Linked DNA regions of Drosophila melanogaster. The protein of the gene in region 1 interacts with the protein of each later gene in a pairwise test. Each region holds a gene or a part of one and is shown on either strand. Other genes may lie near its edges.

Region 1 (4,809 bases):
AATTGTGAAATAAACGGAAATAGTACACGCCTCGACCCCTTTGACCCAATTCAGTTTTAAGTTGCCAAGCTGGATTAAATACTGAATTCAAGATCACTGCCAGTTTCGATTATGCAGAACCGATAAGGCCAGTTCGTGTAGAATTCCGGAAGAATTGCCGATAAGGAATAAGTAGGGCCAAGTTTCAGATAAATCCAAAGCCACTATGGGGAATTTGATTCGTTTTTTGGCATAAATGTGTTTTTAAAAATGTTTCAATTGTTGAACACTTTTTTCTTAACGGATTAAGATCAAGGCTTAAGTTATGTAACGCAAATGTAAATTAATCAATGTTAAAAACCACGTGCCATCGATGACCTTCTTTTTTAGTGCTTACGAAAATTAATTGAGTTTCAAAAAATTTTTGATATGTGTGTTAGTCAATGTTTTAGAGTGATTAATTACCTACTTAGAACACATACGGTTAACGCGACTTTTGCGAATGCTACTTATTGTGACTTTTCGCGAAGATTACATTTTTAGGTAGCAATCAGCAATGCGGCCCTGATAGAAGTGTACGAAATGCGACTCTGAAAGATTTTTTTATCAATAAAAATGTTAAGAGACTTAAGTTTGTACCGATTGTGGACAATCTAAAACATGGTGTAACTCCAATACATTGGTGGATTAGATAGAATATATTGATTTAAAAAAAAAATTTTATGGGAGTGGGCGGGGCACCCACTTTGCCAAAATAATTCTAAATTCATCGTATCTTAAATAGTTTACGAGATATTAATTTATGCCAATAAAACATGTTAAATTCCCCATAGTGCAAGCGCACTACCAGCCTCATTTCACAGCGATAAGCAACTTGTGGTTTCTTTTTATATAATATGAATTCTTTGGTTTTTACATACGGGCAATCTGTGTTAAAAAAAAACAATTCCTTTTATCACTATATACATCCTAATAATGAATTTTATTGTGTGAGTGCCGACGACGGACATAAAAACCCAACATTTTTGGTGGCAAGCAGTTAGTCGTCTTCGGTCGTTCTAGTTTACCAATCCTTCAGGATTTCATATCCCTAAACTATTTTTTTGTTTTTTATTTTTTGTTAAATTTCCCGCGTGTGAAATACGAAGTTGATTGTATGTCAGTTTTTCATTTGGCCTGGCTAGCTTACTCCTTTTTAAATATTGCTAGCTGCCTTGTGAAGGGCTTACGTGTAATTGCAGTTCGACTCCCGAATAATAAATTTTTCGACTGTTTAAAATTTACCATTATTTTGGGGTATCCTAAAAGTTTTGTTACATTAATAACTACATCTGATTAATTCGTGGATCAAATGTTGTATATTCTTTGTAGCGTTCATAATATAAACCTTTAAAAAAAGCTACTAATAAACTGTCTCTTATCAGATACGGAGATGGTGGAGTGCTAGAGAGAAATTTAAAAACTCTTCTAAAAAATAACAAACTAAATAAATATGAAACTATTATAAATATGTGAGTGTAATAGAGGACGTGGCAAGCCCAGGGAACAAATTTTCCCTGCATAGAAAGACTAAAATCTTTTTGGCACCAGAAAACTTAAATTTCTTATATCAAAAATTATTATTATATTATTATATTTATGGATTATTATATGCTTACTCAAAAATATACAATCAATTTTTCAACTAATATAAGTCCGCTAGGGGGACTTGAATTTAAACTTAAATAGCACAATTAGTGGGACCGCCAATCCTCGTTTCTCCTATGCATTTTAGAGTGACCGCTTTCCTTCGACTGCGATATGTATTGCGTGTACATTATCGACGTCTGAAAAAATCACGCGTGCTGTATATCGATATTTGTCATGTACTAAATACCATTCCTCGGCTAAATTAAATCGCAAAATTGCGTCGAAACTTGGGGAAAAGTGCTGGGACAGGCAGCTGAAAACTAAGCTAACGGAAAAGCATCGTGAGGGAAAACAGCGAAACTTTGCGAGCGGGAAATTTTGGAGCTACAACCTAGAAACGGCAGTGCGCAAATGTAAAATGCACGGAATATTCGCATGTGCAGTGTGATAATAAATAAACGCCAAAGAAAATTTTCGGCGCAGGGGCAAACACACCAATGCACAATAGCGGCGGCGCGTTCGTGTGCGTGCGCCTTTTTTTTCTTTGTGAGTGTGTATGTGTGTTATCATAAAGGAGCTGGAAAAACAACAAAAATACACAGGTGCGTATGTGGGTGTAAACTAGTGGTAGGGGTCAACAAATTTTCCGATTTTCCACTGTGACAGTCTATAATTTATATGTGTATATAGAGATTTGTAGTGGCATAAGTGAATGCCCAAAAGTTTCGGAGTTTCTGAGCTAACGGTTCTTGCTGGCTTGTGTGTGTGTATTAGGTTATCATATATGTGTGCTGGTGTATTTAGCTTGTGTTACCGTTACATCGGCGCCGTAAATGAAAATCCAACTGCGAGTGTCCGTAACTTAACCATGCGCCTCAGCTAAAAGTTAAAACAAAGACAGGAAACTCCGATAGGAAGGATGATGTGTAAAGTAGGGTTGTAGAATAGAAACGCCAAACAGGTATCACTTCCAATTGTGTGCACGACAGCACACGCATTTCCCATTTGCATTGGAAGGTATGCGTGTTTTTGATGCATCTGTGTCTGTGTGATTCTGACGTTTTTGGGGTTGCGAAAAACACCCAAACCACCCCCTAGAGACGAAAAATTTGTAGATACACACATGGATAAACAGAGCGGGATGGCTAGCTCACAGCAACCTTCATTGGGTTTTTCCAGTTCCAATAGTGAAGGACGCCACTGTTATAGGTTGTATTGGGGTGGGCTATAAAAGTACAGTTCCAATTGGAACAGGGCAACGGCCAGCCTACAATTACAGATTATATTTGTTACATCTTTTAAATCTAAGGAATAAGAGTATTTTATTTATTTTATGGCCGATTTAAACACATGCCTAACAAAAATAGTTTCTACTCGAGATGAGTTTAAGATAGTCAAGAACATTTAATAGCTCAAACAAATATAAAAATTTAGACATAACAAGAAGATTACATTTTTGCTGGTATTTTCCTGTTTCCCCGACTATAAACTCCTACGAACTCTTACTGTTGGTTGTATATGTACATACATATGTATATTTCTGTCACTGCATTGCTATGAACAGTGGTGGTCTTTGCGCCGACTCCACTGCCGCGACAACCTTCGCATGCGTAACTTGCCTCTCGTTTGTATTTTCGCTGTTATCATTTCATTTTTGTAGAGCTGTGCTGTCCAGCACAGAAAAAAGAGTATGGTGGGAAATTAAGAGAGGGAGAGAGAGAAACAGCAGTACCAAGAAAATTCGATTGTGGGAAAGGGAAAGTAAAAAAACACGGTGGGGTCAATTCTTTGCAGAACATAACAAATTGTCTTATCATAATTTGGTAATTATTGCGGCTGTTAGTCTTGCATGCTTAAAATTATAAAAAAGTGTCTTAAGGTATTTTTAATTTTCCTATATATGTATAGATAGAATAAACGATACTTCGATGTAAACGGCAGTAACTTTTTGGAGTTTACGGAAGCTGGGGTTAAAGAATTTAAATATTCAAAAATAATGAAATATTCACGAATACTAAAAATTGCCTTAAGAATACATATAAAACGCGAAAGCACACATACGCTTACATTAAATAGTAAATTGAGAAAACACCGAATAAGAAGAATTTATGATCGGATACAACAAGAGTATAATTTCTTTTCTAATATTTTGATCAAATTGAAACCGAAATTATGATGTCAAAAACGGCTTTTACGAGTATACGCTTTGTGCGAAATATAAAAACAAACTAGGATTCTTTTTCCTCAATTTCCCTGTGACTTTTCGACTTCTCGATGCAATTACAACCGAAATATATTGAAGTGTATATATGTATATATATATATATATACTTATGTATATATATGTACAGATGTTAAAACAACGATGCTACACTTTTTTAAATTATTTTTTTTTTTATTATTCCGTACCGAATAATATACCATGTGCAAGACAAAGAATACTCTTGGAAAAGGTGCAAGCATATAACATTAAAACTAAGAGAATAATTTTCGTAGACACGTATAGACGGACGTGGCTTTGTCGCCTGTGGTGTTGACACTGATCAAGAATAGTATACATCGCAAATGCCTTCTTTACAGTGTTGCTAACTTCCGACACAAAGTTTAGTTGCGCTTACTGCAACCTGTGGGCATCACTGTGTAGGCCTTAAATCTTAAAGGACTCTAAAATGGCCTACTTCTATAATTAGAAAGAAAACCTGAAGACTACATCCAACAAACGCAGAGCTTTTTAATTTGGCAATACTTTAGGTTCCTTCACACAATTTCATCACCCACCTTTTTCAGAATCCGGATAAGAATGTATATATGTATGTGTCTTAGGGGGTGAACATATACTCTCTCTACTCTTTTCCCCTTTCTCTCATCATCAGATGCCTATTTTGATTACAATCAAGGTTTAGAAGTGTGCTCACTTTTGCTGGGCCACTTTTCTCGATATATGTGTGGCACGCGCAAGTGGGTCGTGCTCACATCCCCTATAAGGACGTGGGAGTTGGTGGTGTTCCCACTGCATTGTTTCGCGGGGGTGATTGGGTAGTTCGAGTAGTGCATGCGTGGTAGTTTAAAAAAGATCCAAGGAAAATAAATAAAAACACTGCATAAGATAGTTTCATCGTGAGGTGCACCTCGAGCTGGGCGAGTTTGCGTGTGTATTCAGTGCGGTGAAAGGTGTGGGATTTAAGGGGTTGGTTTTTTCGG
Region 2 (4,064 bases), 6.8 Mb from region 1:
TAGGACGATGGTTTCGTTGCGATTGTTGTTGCCGCTGCTGTTGTTGTTGCTGCTACTGGTCGTGGTCGACATGGCCCGCGGGTGCCAATTGTCAAGGTCCTCGTCGCCGTGCTCCTTGGCCCTGTGGTAGTTCTCCAATTCGCTGGCATACTTGCTGCTGGTGATACCAAGCAGGTGGGCCAGCCCACCGCCCACATAGTCGATGCCGGCCAGGAATCGGTTGCCCATCCTGCTGGCCTTGTAACGCAGGCGTGGTCCCAGCGGCATTTCGCTCTAAAAGGTGGCAAAAAAAAAAAAAGCGGGCTAAATGAGTCACGCTAAATGGTCAATGAGGAGGGGGGCGGGGGGTGGCAGCTGCTTATCTTTTTCGTGGCCCTGGGCCCTGTTTGTTTACTTAAACAGCTCAAAACACACATTTTCATTGAAAGATATAAAATTTCTCACATTATTATCATAATTCGCTTCGAACATTAGTCACGTCTCGAGCTCAAAGTGAAAAGTTATTATCTGGATCAGGAGAACTGGGCTAATCTTGAGCAAATTTAACTAACTGTGTTAATCCGGACAATCCCGCTTTAAAAAAGGTAAACAAGCAATGCAGCTACATGACCATGTACTAAATGGATGGCCGGAAGTGCATTACTCCACCCATAATCCTTGCTGAATGTATGTACCTCGTTTAAATGGACGTCGTAGCATTTGTCGCCCATTTCCGCATCCGCCTCGTCCTCGCTGCCCGAGGACAACTCCTCCATGACGCCGTCGCTAAAGTACAGCATGCGCTTGTTGGACTGCAGTTCAAGGGCGCTCACATTGTCCGTCTCGGATGCACTTGCTCCACTCGCAGATGCCAGTTCCAATCCTCCAGCTGCACTGCGTACTTCGCCACTCTTGTTCCTCTCCGCTGACATGGCTATGGATAGCTCTAAACCCGATTAAGTACCGCCTCGATTGATTGACGCTGCGCGAATGTTTTTGCTTGCGCTTGAGCTTCGTTTGAATCGCAGCCGCCGTTTTGGTCATGAAAAAAGCGGACGCGGGTCAACGCCAAATGCGTATACGGCCGGCTGGGGGCCAAAATGTCCTTGGGTTGGGGGCCACCGGCGAAACGACTCACAAACGGCGAGAATCGCGTGCCATGGGGCGCTTGGCGCAGTTAGGTGCAAAGCAAATCGATAAACTAAAAGCCGCTTTCAAACAGCAAAAAAAAAAGTCGAAACAAAACAAAGGTGCGGCAGTGTGACCAGCTGATGGTTTTTGCAAGCTAACTGGATATTAATTTAGATGTATTGTAATAAAAATGAAATTGCAGTCGTATATATCGTAAATGTTTTTGTTTATAAAAATAATTAATAATATAATAAAAAAATTAAGTTGTGCGTGCACATCCTGTGCTTATAATTTAAATAATATAACAATAAAAAATATTATATTATTAAATAATTAAGTTTAATGGTTTCCTACTCTGTACAATTGACTGGTGCAATGGTTATTAACTTAGCAATATATTCAAAAACTAAAATGGTTATCTAGTGTTCCATATTTAACCATCGCTTGCAATGCATCGCGTTTTAAAGCTCTGGTCACACCAAACAGCTGTTTTGTTTGCTTCGTTTAATTCGTTCTTTTTGCAACAAATTGCATCCCAATCTTCCAAAGCAGGTATCCAAACATGGAGTCCCCAACCTCGCACCTGGTGGCCAAGGGTGAGTGGAAAAAGCGGCAGCCGTCAATGGAATCGGGGTCATAAATTCCCAATTAGATTTCCAGGTGACGGGTGTTTCGCGCAGCGGACGCGTACGCAAAAAATCGTCGAAATTGTTGGATTTTGAATCTCCGGATGAGATCGAGAAGCGCACAAGGCGTCACAGTGGCGCCAGACAGCCAGCCAGATATTCGGGCCGCGGCAGGCCATCGAATGCGCTGCGTGATCTGGATCTTGACCAGGAGATGCTCGTGGATGATGGCATTATCTCGGATAGCGAGGAATTCCATCCGGATACAACGGCAACGGTCGTGGCCATTCTGAATTCCGACGATGAACTGGACAATCTGGTGCAGGATATCGTCGATGGTGTCCAGGCGGAGGCCACCAGCCAAGAGTCATCCGTCCGTCAGAGTCTTTACATGCGCGAGAAGTCCAACAAGCGGCAGGTGCTCAAGGACGGCAAGGTGGTGAGTGCCAAGGTGCAGCGCAAGGACAAGGGCAAGCAGCGCTACACCGCCTACAGTCTGTGGGCCAAGGAGGCGCGACAGAAGGATCTCCAGGATCTAGGTAGGTTGCTACACATCTGTGCGCTCTCTATCGCTTATTGACCATTCCCCGCACGCTTGCAGACTTCACCAGCGCGACCAGACGCCTCAGCGAGCTGTGGGCGAACGTTTCCAATCGGGACAAGAACACCTGGCGGCGCAAGGCCAAAATCGAGGCGTCCAGGGCCAAAACTCGCGACAAAACCGCTGCAAACGGTGCAACCCAGCCGGCGAGCAACGGCAGCACGGCTCTGGCAGATGCCACGCAGCACGAGACGATCTTTCAGAACCGTGCGACAACAAGTCGCACTCGAAAACTGGCCGCCGATCGGCAGCAATCCTCAATAGAAGCGGCTGCCGCAGCGGCGGCAGCAGCAGCGACTGGCACCAACACACAGCGGCGCAGCATCAGCACACGAAGTGCCAGGTCGCAGGTCTCGAAGAGCGCGACGAAACAAGCGCAAGTGCACACGGATGCGGACGTCAGCGGCCGGACTGGGGGTCAGCTGAAGCAGGAGGAGGTGCAAAAGACCAGCATCGAAGTGATCGATGCGGCCGCACATCTGAAGCTGCTCGGCGAGAGCCTGACTGTGATTGGCGAGCGACTGAAGAAGCACAATGGATACGTGGCGCTATCGGGCAGCTTGTCCGTGCTCCTCGACAGCCTGCTCTGCGCCATGGGACCGCTGCTCTGCATGACCACGCAAATACCCGGCATGGAGAACAATGTGCAGTTGAGCAAAAATCTGGCCGACACGCTCGACAACATCGCCTACGTAATGCCCGGACTATGAAGTAAATTCCGGATTGCAACTGCAAATGCATACATATATATATATATATAATCATACCAGGCCGCTGCGCTTCCAGCGGCGACTAGAGTCGCCATCGGGATCTGTATGTTTGTAAGGAGTTGGCCAACCTGGAAATAGTTAATCGCATTAGATATGCCTAGTTGATAAACTGAAGCATCTAGATCGTAAGTAAAAGGTCTCCCTCTAATTGAGTTTTTTTTTTATTTGCTTCTTGAATTGAAATTCGTACGCTAAAAAGTTTAGTAGTTCACTTATTTATTTCCACTTTTTGTTTTTTGCAACATTTAAGCACAAATCATCGAAACATTGGTAGAATTAGGCAACATTAAATATCCTATAATCCTTAAGTGAAATAAATGTGAATCACAAGATTCTTATTTCAGCTTCAAATTAAGCAGGCACTTTTTATAATAAACGTAATAAATAAAGATAAATATAAAAGCTAAAAATATGAGATGATTTCTTCCTCTGCCCAAAAATCTTTATAAAAGTGAAATATTTTTAAAAATGATCTCAAATAAGCCATAATTGAAGGTTCGAATAGTGGAACTATAAGCTAGATATAAACTTTAAATATTTATAAATACGTTAATTATTTGCTTACTTTCTAGAGATGGCACTTCGCTGGTGCGCCATCGATGACTTGGCTTGCCGTTACAACGGCGAGCTATCGATGTTACATCGCCGCCCTGCCCACCACTAGCCAGTCCGCGGAAAGTAAATAAGAAGACGGACGCCAAATCGAATCTTCCCACATCCCCGGATGCAGTGCAGCAAGCTCTGGGTCCCTGAGAATCCTGCGTGGGCCTGGGATTCCGAATCCTCTTCCGCCCCGGATCCGCACGTCAGCGCGGCATCCGCATCCGCCACCGCTTCCGCCCACGCACAGCATCCGCAGCCACATCCGCGGCAGCAAAAAAACGGTGAGTTTTCCACCTGCATTTTTTTTTGGATTTTCCGGGGGGGGGGGGGGCAGCAGCTGTGATTGGGATGGAA
Region 3 (5,033 bases), on another chromosome or scaffold:
ATGTATGATACAATTTTGGGAGTGTAAAAGAAAATATACATAAATTAGCCAAAAAATATAAAAATACCAGTGTATTCTTGTTTAACGATTGGCCAAATAGAATGTGCATTAAGAGAGCATTTCGACCCTAATAGTTTTCTACTTTCTCTCTCAGTAATACAATCTTATTGTGATGTTTCTGCGTAACGTATCGACTCTTTCTTTGTTGGATGTTTTTAGTGATGTCTACCTCCACGCAATGAACTAAGGAATTTGCAGCAACCCAGGATGATTTGTGGTCATCTTTGTGCGACTCAGATGAGTAAGGCCTATATAGATCAGCCAACAACATTTTTGACAGACGCAAAGAGTATGCTGCAGTCGAGTTTGACGACTAACAGATACCTATTGATAGAAATTGCCAGGACAATTGTTTTATAAATATGATTGGTATCTCTTATTTTTAATTTGAGTTGCCCGAGTCAAAAATCTGAAGAAGCTTTTTTTATTCTTTTTGACCTGCGAGCTACAAAAACCAGGTCCTCGCATAAAACAGATTTTATATCATTTTTTAGTTCTTTTTTTATTATTTAACTTTTTTGTGGATGTCACAATTCTCATCGGGTTTGAATTAAATATTCCACTTTTTATTTAAATTAAATAATAAATTGTCCTATTTAAACTTTATAATTAACATAATTGTAGTTCTTTAGGTCTGTACTATGTTGATTTGTAGTTGTAGTTGTTGCTGCTGCTGCATTTGCGTGCCGGACTGTGACTGAACACAATAATACAGTTTGACATCCTGCAGTGGTTGTGGGTAAGTTGATGGACAGCACCATTACTTGGTCGCCGACTTCAGGTAGGCGATCAGATCGCCGCGCTCGTTGGGCTTCTTCAGACCGGCGAAGATCATCTTGGTGCCGGGGATGTACTTCTTGGGGTTCTCCAGGTACTCGAACAGGGTGTCCTCGTTCCAGGTGATGCCCTTGGCCTTGTTGGCGTCCGTGTACGCGAATCCGGCCGCCTGTCCGGTCTTGCGACCGATCAGACCATGCAGATTGGGTCCAACCTTGTGCTTGCCACCAGCCTCAACGGTGTGGCACTGGGCGCAGCGCTGCACGAACAGCTTCTTTCCCTTCTCAACATCACCAGCAGGAACGCCCATTATGGATTATGTGGTTAATTAATGTGTTAACACGGACTCGACTGTAAAAAGAAATGTTTGTTATTAATGAGTGGTTCATAAAACAAGGGTAACCAATATATCTGTTATCTTACATCTTAGGTTTGAAAAACTTAAAAAACTGGCTACTAAATGGTTCAAAGTTCATAACTGCTACCAATTAATTTGTTCTATTCTGATAAATTGATTACAATATATATTTTATATCATTTGCTTATGTACTTAGTCCGAAATTCTGGTTTCACTGCAAAAAATAGTTATACGATATTTGATACCATTTATTATTAGCCCCAATGAACCATTGTGTAGATACTGATAAAAGCTTCACTTTCAGCCATACATTATCAAAAGATTATTGAATAAATAAACCCGAAATTTAAAATTTATTAACCAGTTGATTTCCCAACGTTACTTATATAATATTATATATTTTTAAGGTATTAAAATAATAACGTCTTTATATCATCAAAAATTTCCATGCTTGGGAAATAATGGGTTAATGTAGGTAGTTATGGACCGTGAATTAATATTTGTCCCCTTGCCCCGTTATGTAAACAATTGATAAGCTCCCTGCGGAAACGGAATTATTAAAATTGCTCATGCTAAGTGCATTAGTCGGCTGTTGTTTCTGATAAGGCCCGAAATTATTATCTAACGTAGTCTGCATTTCCATTTGCGGCCACCCCCTTTTTAACCCACATACTTTGCTCTCACTAATACGCGCGTGGAGGGCGTCGCAACGTCATCAGAAACACACTTTGAAAAAGCTTCAGACGCTGGTCACATGTTGCCCCCACACTCTTTCTCTCCTTCTCACACTCTCTTTGTGTCTCACTCGCTTATATTTGCCAGTCGCCGATTAATTGCGTCAGAACTGCTCAGCAACAGGCGGAAAACTTCCAGGAAGCATCATAATACGAAAAACGTTAGTTGTTTACATAACTATTCTATTATTCCAGGGTCTGTGTTACGGTCATCCTGCTAATTGCCGGATTATAAATTGCATGCAGCAATTTGAACTTGAGAGTGCAAAGTACCGTTGCGGTGAGTAATTCACCTACACATCACGCACATAGACTGAGAGAAATTCGATTAGCTGAAGCTCTTTCAATTCTAGAAAACTAATTTTATTTTATATGCATTTGTCTATAAAAACAAACCTAATATATATAGACTATTGATTTTGTGCGCTTTTACACATAATTTGCATTTAATATCAACCTTTTTTTCACTTCTTTCTGTGTAGAGTATCATGCACTTTGGCAGTGAGAGGTGGCAAAGCAACAACAATGTCAACATCCGATTTGGCCTTGTTGAGTATTTTTCAGTTAATTGCCGTGCGTGAGTGTGCGTGAGATGAAGGGAAAGTGCAATTGGAAAATTGGAAGCAGGCCAAAGGCAGCTGTGTTTTTCCTTGTGTGGGTGAGCAAGGTGGTGAGAACAAAGAGATGAGTGAAAATTGGGCCAACATCCAAGTTTCCTGAGAGCAGCGAATGTTACATAAGCCGCCTTTTCGCAGAGGTGAATTCTCTTTTATTTATATTATAGAAAACTGCACATCGCAGAAAGCAAAACCTGCTTAGCAACCACGTGGCGCGCTTAAAGACTCCAAAGCTGAAGCATTGACAAAAAATCCAAGAATTAATTTTTGCCACTGAGCGAGCGAGACAGCTGATGATCGGGTACGCCACTCTCTTTGCTCATGTAATCGACTCTCTCCGGGGCTTTTTTCAATGGCAATGTGACTTTGGGATGCTATTTTTACTATTAATACACCACTGCTAATATTTGCTAAATAAACTATTAAATATCTAATAAAAAATCACACTTATACACACACACACAAGGACACGTTTATGTAACCTGAATCATCCCCCAAAGAATACGTTAAATTTGCATGCGAATCATTTTCAGAACAAAACACAGCTGCTGGATGTTACGTAAATGACACGGAAGTGTTTCTAATCTTTATCTGACTTGGGGCTTGATAATCAATAACTATTCAAGGTAATATTTACGTCACTTGAAAATACAAAAATTCCACCCACTACTTACATTGAACACAAACGTCGAGCGTCGCCGATTTTTCACGAATGACGAGCGCGCGTTATGTCGATAGGTAATTAGTGTGACCAGAGTGACCGGGGGCCACGCATTAAAAAATGTCGCAAGCTTTTGTACCCGTATTTATCCACCACACGGCGTATAAGTAATTTTTTCCCCTATTAACGGGACTATATTGGAAAGCCTCTGGAAAATTTGCATTATTTAACAAGCTTCTCCAATTTATTACATTTTGCTAGTAGGACCATAAAACCAACTGTGACCAAAGCTGATTGGTACAACACTTTCCTCCACCCGCGTCGCACACAACTTGAATTAAGAAGAGGGTTTTTGGTTTATCAACTTTAATTGGCTAAAGTGAAAGTAAACCTTTTTGAAATGTATTTGAGCTCGACCATTCCCAATCAAAGTTTCGAAATCCAAGTGAAATACGTCATCTTTTGAATATGTTTGTAGTCTTTAAGCGCAGTTTTCTGGATAGCATGGTGGCCGATCTTGTTGTTTCGCAGGCGATTCTACTTGTTTGACTTGAGGAAGGCAATCAAATCGGCCCGCTCCTCAGCCTTTTTAAGACCTGCGAACACCATCTTTGTTCCGGGAATGTATTTCTTCGGGTCCTTGAGGTACTCGTCCAAATTCCCCTCTGTCCAGGTAACGCCCTTCTTTATATTGGCATCGGTATACTTGTATCCCGCTGCTGTGCCACACTTGCGACCCACGACCCCGCCAAGATTTGGGCCCACCTTGTGTTTGCCGCCCACTTCGTAGGTGTGGCACTGGGCGCACTTCTGCACAAATATCTTCTTGCCGTTCTCTGCATCACCAGAACCCATCTTGGAAGCCTGAAAGACAAATAGGGAAAAATGATATTTATGATTTAGAATTCAACTTTTTATGCAGCTTTTATTTCTATATTTTTTAATTTTTTGTTATTTGTTTTTTGTTAATTTGGATCAAATAGAAATTGGTTGATTCCGAAACTATCATGAAAAAGAAAAGTGTAGAACTAAAAATTTGATAGAAAAGAAAAACAGATTCAATTTGTTTCAGTGTCCTAAAAAACCGTTTGAAAAGTGCAAGTCCTGGACAACTGAGAGAGAGAGAGAGAGCGTTTCTCTTGGTCACTCTCTTGGCTGCACAGCGATAGACAGAGACAGCTGCTAATGCACGAAAGCAAAACAAAATTGGGTCAGAAAAATAGGAAAAACGAAAATTAAATCAAAATGGGTATTAAATGAAAAGCAAACAAGCAGCTCGAGAACTTGTCGGCACTTCTAATGGGAAAAGCAACCGAAAGGTAATTCAATTAGCAGACACATTCGGCTTGCCACCCCCTTTCCCAACCAATTCGTTGACTAGCAGATGCACATGTGCTTTGAACATTTCCTTTCAATTAAAACGCATTTTACGCACTCTCCGCTTTCGCCCCCTGCCTTCCCCTCTCTCAACCATTTTCCTGTGGCAAAAACAGATGCCACCGCATAACAAAACCAAAAAAAAAAAAAACAAAGCAGAGGGAAATGAATAACGGGAAAGAGACATGGAACCATGCCGCATACAACGGTCACACAGGGATGATATTCACCTGCAATTTAAAATTTAAAGGATCAATTGAAAATATTAACTATGTTTATCTCAACCAATTATCTTAAAATTAAATTTGTTTTAAATTTACAAGAGTGCATTATGATATTTTTCAGAGAATGATATTATTTATATATTTATATTACGTACGTATGTAAATGTCACATTCTAAATCCAAACAATGACATTTTCCTGGCAGCCCTGCACTGGTATTAGGTGT

Evidence for each region. Proteins that work in one complex are often made in the same cells at the same time.
Region 2: the proteins of ewg (region 1) and CG4617 interact in a two-hybrid assay, tested with the Drosophila melanogaster proteins (one large-scale study listed by BioGRID).
Region 3: the proteins of ewg (region 1) and Cyt-c-p interact in a two-hybrid assay, tested with the Drosophila melanogaster proteins (one large-scale study listed by BioGRID).

The regions. Positions count from the first base shown.
Region 1 is NC_004354.4:276,586-281,394, reverse strand, and holds the start of ewg (erect wing), read left to right. Parts: upstream 1-1,760; 5' UTR 1,761-2,210; intron 2,211-4,809. UniProt on the Drosophila melanogaster protein: May function as a positive regulator of transcription in developing and differentiated neurons, regulating common aspects of neuronal differentiation and maintenance. Requirement in the CNS may be higher than in the peripheral system.
Region 2 is NC_004354.4:7,102,003-7,106,066, reverse strand, and holds CG4617 (uncharacterized protein), read left to right. Parts: upstream 1-1,575; 5' UTR 1,576-1,672; coding exon 1,673-1,706; intron 1,707-1,762; coding exon 1,763-2,275; intron 2,276-2,337; coding exon 2,338-3,047; 3' UTR 3,048-3,232; exon of another isoform or gene 3,233-3,357; 3' UTR 3,358-3,512; downstream 3,513-4,064. Other genes in the region: CG8300 (uncharacterized protein), read right to left, coding at 1-273, 675-911.
Region 3 is NT_033779.5:16,718,164-16,723,196, reverse strand, and holds Cyt-c-p (cytochrome c proximal), read right to left. Parts: upstream 3,266-5,033; 5' UTR 3,221-3,265; intron 1,189-3,220; 5' UTR 1,148-1,188; coding exon 821-1,147; 3' UTR 553-820; downstream 1-552. Other genes in the region: Cyt-c-d (cytochrome c distal), read right to left, coding at 3,745-4,062. UniProt on the Drosophila melanogaster protein: Electron carrier protein. The oxidized form of the cytochrome c heme group can accept an electron from the heme group of the cytochrome c1 subunit of cytochrome reductase.